Coturnix japonica: one gene and its partner. The protein of the gene in region 1 binds, or shares a complex with, the protein of each later gene. Links are inferred from orthologs where the notes say so. Each region holds a gene or a part of one and is shown on either strand. Other genes may lie near its edges.

The links. The genes of interacting proteins can lie anywhere in the genome.
Region 2: STX18 (region 1) and BET1L share a complex: the UniProt entries of both Homo sapiens proteins name them as parts of the SNARE complex. The link is inferred for Coturnix japonica from reciprocal best matches to the Homo sapiens genes STX18 and BET1L.

What each region holds. Positions count from the first base shown.
Region 1 is NC_029519.1:71,390,250-71,394,370, forward strand, and holds the start of STX18 (syntaxin-18), read right to left. Parts: upstream 2,895-4,121; 5' UTR 2,833-2,894; coding exon 2,671-2,832; intron 1-2,670. UniProt on the Homo sapiens protein: Syntaxin that may be involved in targeting and fusion of Golgi-derived retrograde transport vesicles with the ER.
Region 2 is NC_029520.1:1,401,998-1,405,965, forward strand, and holds BET1L (BET1-like protein), read left to right. Parts: upstream 1-1,277; 5' UTR 1,278-1,401; coding exon 1,402-1,420; intron 1,421-1,561; coding exon 1,562-1,653; intron 1,654-1,997; coding exon 1,998-2,054; intron 2,055-2,753; coding exon 2,754-2,921; 3' UTR 2,922-3,464; downstream 3,465-3,968. Other genes in the region: RIC8A (synembryn-A), read right to left, coding at 878-961. UniProt on the Homo sapiens protein: Vesicle SNARE required for targeting and fusion of retrograde transport vesicles with the Golgi complex. Required for the integrity of the Golgi complex.

The DNA.
Region 1 (4,121 bases):
CCAGCTGTGTTCTGCCACACACTTTAATGTTAGTTCTCAGATATGGATGTTCTGGAGATTGTTTTCATAGAATCATAGAATTACCCAGGTTGGAAAAGACCTTGAAGATCAAGTCCAACAGCAGCCTAACCATAGTACCCTAACTCTAACAACCCTTTGCTAAATCATATCCCTGAGCACCATATCCAAACGGCTCTTAAACACATCCAAGGATGGCAATTCAACCTCCTCCCTGGGGAGCCTATTCCAGTACTTAAATACCCTCTCTGTAAAGAAGTGCTTCCTAATATCCAACCTAAACTTGCCCTGGTGCAACTTGAGGCCATATTCAGGTTTTATTGAGGTTTTATTCAGGGCTATTCTAGACCTGGCAACTGCATGTCCTATCCTATTAAAAAGGTTAATACAGTAAGCAGGTCTTTTCCAATCTTGGTGATTCTTTGATTCGGGTTATTTTATTTTTTTAACTGACATTTTCAACAAGAAAAGAAGGAATACTTGATCCAGTAATTAACTGGAAATTGGCAGGTGGTCTTGAAAAATACAATATTGTTGGATTATTAAAGATGTTTGTATAACTGAAAAAAGTCTGAGTGCTAATACTGACATTCTGGTTTCTCTGGCAAGAGAACAAAGCAGACCCAGCTTTCACTTGACTGTCTCCTTTTCACATGTAAAGGCAAATTAAACAGTGCTATAACTGGGGCTGTGTGTTAGTTGCTAGTAGGGACCAGGCTAGTAGGCACCACATTTTTCTCCACTGTTTTTAGCATTTTGAATATTTCTTGGTCTTCTAAAAACTCAGATGTAATTCACTGTGTTCTGAAGCCACTAACTTGAACATGGGGATTTTTCCTGCTCATTATAGAGGACGAAACAGCACAACCAAACATATTCTTGATGTGAATATGGGCCTATTATATGGACTAAAAAATGAAATAAAATATAAAAGAATTGATCATTCTACAGAATACAGAGAAAGAAGTTATATGAAGAACAGATGTTGTAGCCCCACGAATCTGGCATTCTTACGCGTTCAACAGCTTCAATCACAGACATTCTATCATTCTGAAATCCTGCATTTAAAGGCTCAGAAACTATTAACCTTTCAAATTTTCCCTTCTCAAGGACATGCTTTCAGATACTGCTTTTGAAGAATTTAACTTGTAGCACTTAAATTTTCTAGCTGTTTGCAAGAACATTAAAAACCAGATAATCTCCCTAACAAAACAGAAAAAAAAAAAAGTAATAACTTTTGGTTGGAATCAAGCCCGTTGTGAGATTCAGCTTTGCCACTCATTGCATTTCTCTTAATAAGCAGTATCAACCTTAATTTCATTTCTGTAACACATACTGAACAGTCAGCAGTGATTAAATCTCATCCCTTCAATATTCTCAAATAAGTATATATTTGACAGATGATCTTCCTAATAGCTTGTACTTGCCATAAAAAGTAAAGCAGATGGCTTAAATAAGATTGTCTAAGACAGTGCAAGTGCCAACCTGTTGGTATAAGACTACGGTAAAGCTGAGAACAAGTGTCACATAAGCTGGTCCTATGTGATATCTGTACTGGTTATATATTGGTATCAAATCAGATACCAAAACCAAGTTATTATGCAAGTCTATAGAAGTGTGATTGAAACAATCTTTAATACCCACATTCACTGAATGCAAAATTGTTCTGTCAAACTATTAGTCCAAGGACAATAACCAAAATTGTTTTTGTTGACCAAAATGCACTAATACCCAAACAGTAAATTCTAACAGCATTTCATAAATGTGAAGCAATGGAACGTCCATCACTGTATCATTGGTTTCTTAAGGGCCAAAGGTTCCTTGCCATCCCTTGCTCAGCCCTACACTAGCACGTGTGTTCTGGAAGTCTGTCTCCTCATAGAGAATCACAGAGCACACTGAGCAGGCTGTTCCTCCCAGCTTTTCCAAATCACAGAATGCCTTAGGTTGGAAGAGACCTTAAAGATCACCCAGCTCCAATCCCCTCCCCATCCATGGGCAGGGCTGACACCCACTTGAGCAGGCAGCCCAGCCAACCTGGCCTTGAACCCCTCCAATGTGCATTCCAGTGCCTGATTAAGGGCCTTACTCAAACCGTGCTCTGACACCACTATCCCCCCTCCGCACCCTTTGCTCAGTACGGGGGTAAAGAACCTGCAACAAGTTTACAATCATACTTAGTAATATTATTAACGCTGATCAGCCTCCAATTCAGCAATTCCTTCGCCTCTCAGTGCTTGTCTCTCCAAGCTGTATGACACCCCAGTTCATACGGACCCGGCATATACGGACCCGCCATACCGTGTGACACAAGAAACAGATGTGCAATAAGGCACAACTCGGCACTACAAAGACTCGCCCACTCGTTCCGGAGCCGACCTACATGGCAGCCCAGGGCTCGTGGGCACCGAGGGGACGCGGCCATGGAAGCCCGGATCCCCAGCCTGGAGTTACGGGAGCCGGGTGCGGGGGGTGGGGCTGGGATCCCTCCGGCCGCCACATCAGCTCCGGCTCCCGGCCCACATCCGCCTGGGGCCAGCGCTGCCCCGACTCTCTCTGCGGCCCTTCAGGAGCCACTCTCTCGCCCCGGCTCCCCGGGGAGGGCTGCCCGCCGCCTTCCCCCTGCCCCGGCCGCCCGCTGCCCGCACTCACCACCTCCCGTGCCCGCCCGGTGAAGTCGCTCCTAGAGCGGGCAGCGCTGCGCTTGAGCAGCTCATCCCGAGCGCTGTCGCCAGCCGCCACCCCCAGCGCCTTATTGCGGGTCTTCACCGTCTTCACGCTGGCTTTGAAGAGCAGGGTGATGTCCACCGCCATGGCGGCCAGCCCGGCCCCGTCCACCGGTGCCTCCGCGTTTTGCCTTCCCCGAGCAACGCGGCCCCGCGCAGCGCGTTCCGCTCGGTCGGCTCCAGGGATGGGTGCGGTGGGAAGGGAGCATCGCGGTGTTGCTGTGCGGGGATCCTGCTCTGCTGCCTCCCATCGCGGAGCGAAAGATTGAGGAATAAAATCTATATTCCAGCCAAATTCTGACGTGTGGATCGCCGAGCTGTGGTGTCGCGGCAGGTGTCACCAGGTGGTGCTGTTAGACAGAGTCATCCAAGCCGTCGGCCTTGGAATTCAGTCTAGGAAAGAAGGGTTAATTGGAGTTGATTAATGGGCTTCAGCAGGTTTGCACCAGGGGATGGGTTTTGTGCTGCTGTGAAATTTCCATTGGAGATGGCCGTACGTGTATTAATATATTGATTATTGGTTATTTCATAGAATCATTGAGGTTGGAAAGGACCCTTAAAGGCCATCTAGTCCAGCTCCCCTGCAATGAACAGAGACACCTACAGCTCCATCAAGTTGCTCAGAGCCTGTTCCAGCCTGAGCTTAAGTGTCCCCAGGGATGGGACAGCCACCACATTTCTGGGCAACCTCTACCAGTGCCTGACCACCCTCACTGTAAAAGATTTTTTCCCTATATCCAATCTAAATCTCCCTTATTTTAGTTTGAAATCATTTCCCCTTGTTCTTTCACAACAGATACTGCTAAAGAGTCTGTCTCCTTTCTTACAGCTCCCATTTAGATACTGACAGGCCACCCTCAGGTCTCCCCCAGGGCCTTCTCTTCTATAGGCTGAACAGCCCCAGCTCTCTCAGCCTGTCCTCATGTGTTCATGTAGGCCCACAGCTTGAGTCTTTCTGGGTCTCTCTGGAGTGCTATGTTTCTTCTTGAACACAATAGATAGAACAACTTCAATACACCTGTAATGTGTGTAGTGATTTCTGTGCCTGTTAAGGCCCTTGAGATCTACTGCCATTCCACATTTGGTCAGTATCACTGGTACTCCAAGGACAAACCCTGCAGGGAGCTACAATGCACAGCTATTATTAATTTGACTGAATCAGAGGAAAGCTTTCTGAAATACCCTTTGCTATTATTTTAGTTGTGGCAATTTCATTACCATGTGCTGTGCAGAAGATAAGTGACTGGAAAGGAAACTGTGTGGCACAGCAGTGAAAACTTCTGACCAAATAACTAGTGGTGGTAGTGAGTGTATGCTATATTATACTTTAGGATCCCACAGACTTTGCATGATTTTAACTGCTCTCACTGATTGAAA
Region 2 (3,968 bases), on another chromosome or scaffold:
ACACGGTTGCACAACAAATGCCATTTACTATCCTAATTTCTCCAGCACACCAGCTGCTGCCAGCAACGCTAATCCTGCAGACCAACCTTTTAAAAGGGACCTGCTGTTTCAAAACCGACTGCTGGAAACAGTTAGTGCAGGAAGGGAAGTGCACATGCTTGTAAGATAAGCACAGGTTTTCCCCACCAGCTTCCCTCCTACTTCAGAATGGTGCAGAATGAGTCACAGATCTGCAGGGCCAGCCCTAGCCTGGTGGAAACCCTCTGAAGGAAATTTCCCTGGCAGACAGTTTCAAAAGGGAACTACCCCTGCAGATGATCTAAGGTTAGAGTCACTCGCACTTCAGCTTCCTGACCCGGTCTTTTTCATGTTCTACACTCATTATTTCATGCGCCAGCTTTCAGATCAGGCACCCTAATCCAATCCCAGCATCCATTCACACCAACTCCTAATTGTCTTTTGCTTACAAATCACAACAATCCTACCTGCAGCTCCTCCCTAGGTGTGAGTTTTATTACCTCCAAACCTTGCCTAGCATCAAGGCTCCTCCTACTCCTCATGCCCATGATTATTCCCCTACCGGGTTTAACTTGCAATCTGGATAATAAAGAAAATCCTTCCCATGTACTTTTCTTCCAGCATAAACAAGATAAAGGGAGGCTTCTTAGCTGCTTCCTAGTAAAGCATCATTAAGAAGCAGCTTGCAAGTAACAAAACAAAGCAGTCTATGACATCTCCAGGGCAATAATGCAGAGACAGATGCTCAGAGGAGATGGGATAGCTGGGCAGCACTGTGAACCCATAACACGGCCCAACCTGCTTCCAGGCTTGCTGACAGCAGCAGGTGACATCAGGCTGAGGTGTGATGCTCACTCACCTCCTGGTTGTAGATCTGAAGCACCTTGAGGACCGCGTCTTGCTCCCCGCTTTCCACCGTGGCCACTACGGTCCTGAGCTCCATGATACCAACAGCTCAGCTACAGCAGGATGGGAAGCAGAGAGGAAAGGCTTCCAGAGCTCCTGGATAACAGCGGTGCAAAGGGACCTCGATCCTTGAGAACTGAGAGGCAGTGAGAAAGGGGGTGGGGAAAAAGAAACAAAAATCAAGCGAGCCGGCTCACTGCTGCGTCCATAAAGCAGACGGGTGAACCACGTACAGCCTCTCTGCCCCTCTAATCCTCTTCTTTCCTCTTTGCTTTCCGACGTTTAATGCATGCCCTCCCAGCACAGCGCTGGGACACCCCCCCCTCCCCACCCGAGGATTACCGCAGCAGATCACGGTGCTTCCCGTAATAGCTCCCCGCTCCTCACTACCCAACAGGGAAGGCGAAGGCCCAGCGGCCATTTTACAGAGGCGGAGCTCCTCCTGCCGGGCGGAGCCGCCTTTCGCCGTGTGCCGCCATGGCGGACTGGGGGCGAGGTGAGGGGGAAGGAGTGAGGGGCGCGCTGAGGGGCTGCTAAAGGGGGCGCCCCGCCGCCATCTTGGGGCACCCCGCCGCCATCTTGGGGATGTGCCATGCTCCCCAGTCGGGATGATGAGACGCGTTTCTTTTCTCCTCAGGACAGAATGCGGTTGCTATGGAGGATATGCTGGACGTGGAGAACAAGCGCATGACAGACAACCTGGCCAGCAAAGTCACCAGGCTGAAGTCGGTGAGTTGCTGGCGCTGCTATGGACGCTTGCAGGGTCTCAGGGACAACGCAGTTGTGTGGGCTTCCTCAGTGCTGTGGGCATACGATGGCTGACGTGTAGCAGTAGGAGGCAGTGCTGGTCCGTCAGCTGTTGTCATATGTCCAACATAGGGAAGTTTCTGCCAGCTTTCCCAGATTATTTCCACAGCAAAAGGATTCCCACAACCCCAAACTGCAGTGAGTGAGAGGCCTTGTTTTGTGGCTGTGCTTAACAAACCTCCACCACATCCTCTAGTGTGGGCCTAGATGCGTTCCAGGTTGTCTTGGTGTTCATTAACGTCAATTTCCTCTCTTATGCTGTGTAGCTGGCTCTGGATATTGATAAAGATGCTGATGAACAGAACCGTTACCTGGATAGCATGGTAAGGAACCAAAAAAGAAGGGTAAAAAGCATGAATTTCAATGTTGGGACCAGTTTGGTCAAAGGTGGGAGCTTGGAAGCTTAATAGCTTGGAACCTTAATAGCAGTGTATGGCCTTGGAGTATCTGAACTGGATATTTGTTCAGCCTAGAAATCAAAAGAGTGGAGAGTTGGAATGAGAGATGTAAAGACAAGAGATCTTAAAGGAGAAGCCCCGAATCAGCACGCAATTGTGCTTCTATTAGAGAAGATTTAGGGATATTTCAGGAGAAACGTGAGCAAAAAGTGGGAGGTAGTTTATGAGAAAGGAAAACAGACGTGGAGTCGAAATGATAATGAATTGCTTTAAGACTTGTTTGCTGCCACCTGGTGGTGTTACAAGTGTATGCTGCCCCATGCTGAAAGAAAAAAAAGAGAACTAATGGAAAGAAACTGCGTGGTTTTGGTGCTTTTTAGCCTGCCCTGGCAGGCATTAACGGTGCTAGCTTTATGTAGAGATACTTGGTATGCAGTATTTACCTGTGCCTTTGCCACGAGCGCAGGCAGGGAAGTTCCTCATAAGAGAGACACGATAGGTACAGAGATACAGGCAGTTACAGCGCAGCTGCTGCAGTTGTTCTTTAAGCAGGAAGCTGGACCCTCCTCATGGGCTGCCTCTCCAGTTTGAAATGCTGCTTTTTGCACTTTGTTTCTCCTCTAGGATTCGGATTTTCTGAGTGCTACTGGGCTGCTGACCGGCAGCATGAAGCGATTCAGCACCATGACACGCTCTGGGAGGGAGAACCGCAAGTTACTCTGCTTTGTTTCTGTAGGACTGGTTGTTGTTTTCTTCATCCTCTACTATCTTGTGTCCAAAGCTGGGACTTGATCTTGGTTCTTGCGTAGTTTTACTGAACTAAATCAATGTGATTGACAGACTTGTTCAGCGCCTTTCTAGATCTGCCCTGCTTTGGGATCCTTGGGACTTCCCAACAGACATTCCAGATAACTTTTAACCAGTGTTTTGTCACCATTCTGGCTGGTCTTGGAGGTAAAATGAGTATTTCACTGACAGCACATCCACCAGGCTGCTCTGGATGACACATCCCACCGCACATATAGACCCTGCAGCACCCAGACCTGGAAGAGCTCAGTCAGCCCCTGGGTGATGCCACTGTTGTTCAGCTCCTGCAGCATCACATCTGTCACCTTTCCTTGGCAGCTGCCTGCCCTGCAAAGACCATTCTAACTGGATTTCCACATATCACCTGATTTTGATGTTCATGCCTATATCTCTCGTCTCATCCATGTCTTGCAGCCAGTTCTTAAGGGATACTTTTGTCTTACCTCCATTACTAATACCTGGCATATCTGACAAATCCAGATGGTTATCAATACAGGTTTAATAAATCAGAGGTTTGGAAGCTGCAAAGTTTAGGCTGTAATGATTTATAAACTTTGGAATGATCAATGTGTGACTTAATCCAGCATGACCCCAATAAACGTGTGCCTGGGCTGGGTATGCCCTCATCCCCCTACTACCTAGCAGGAACTCAGGTGTTCAAGTGCTCCTCTGCACCCAACCCATAGGGCCCCATACATTCCCACCCCCAGGCATTCAAACACAGGGACAAGGCTTAACTTGCATGCATTTAATTTATTGTCCTCAACTGTGACACATGGGCTGCGTGCAGCATGTCCCTAGTGCAGGGGGATGTCACCAAGGGAATGGAATGATGTGACACGTCATGGGGGCTGCAGGGACAACATGGGATTGGCATCGATCACTGGGGTGGGGAGAGACTGTGGGGTATAATTGGGGCTGGGAGGGGAACACAGGGTGACCTTACAAGGTGCGGTATGTCTGTATATATGTGGGAACACATGGGATGCCCCTAAATACACAAGGTAAAAGCCTGTCTTTGTGGCAGGATCC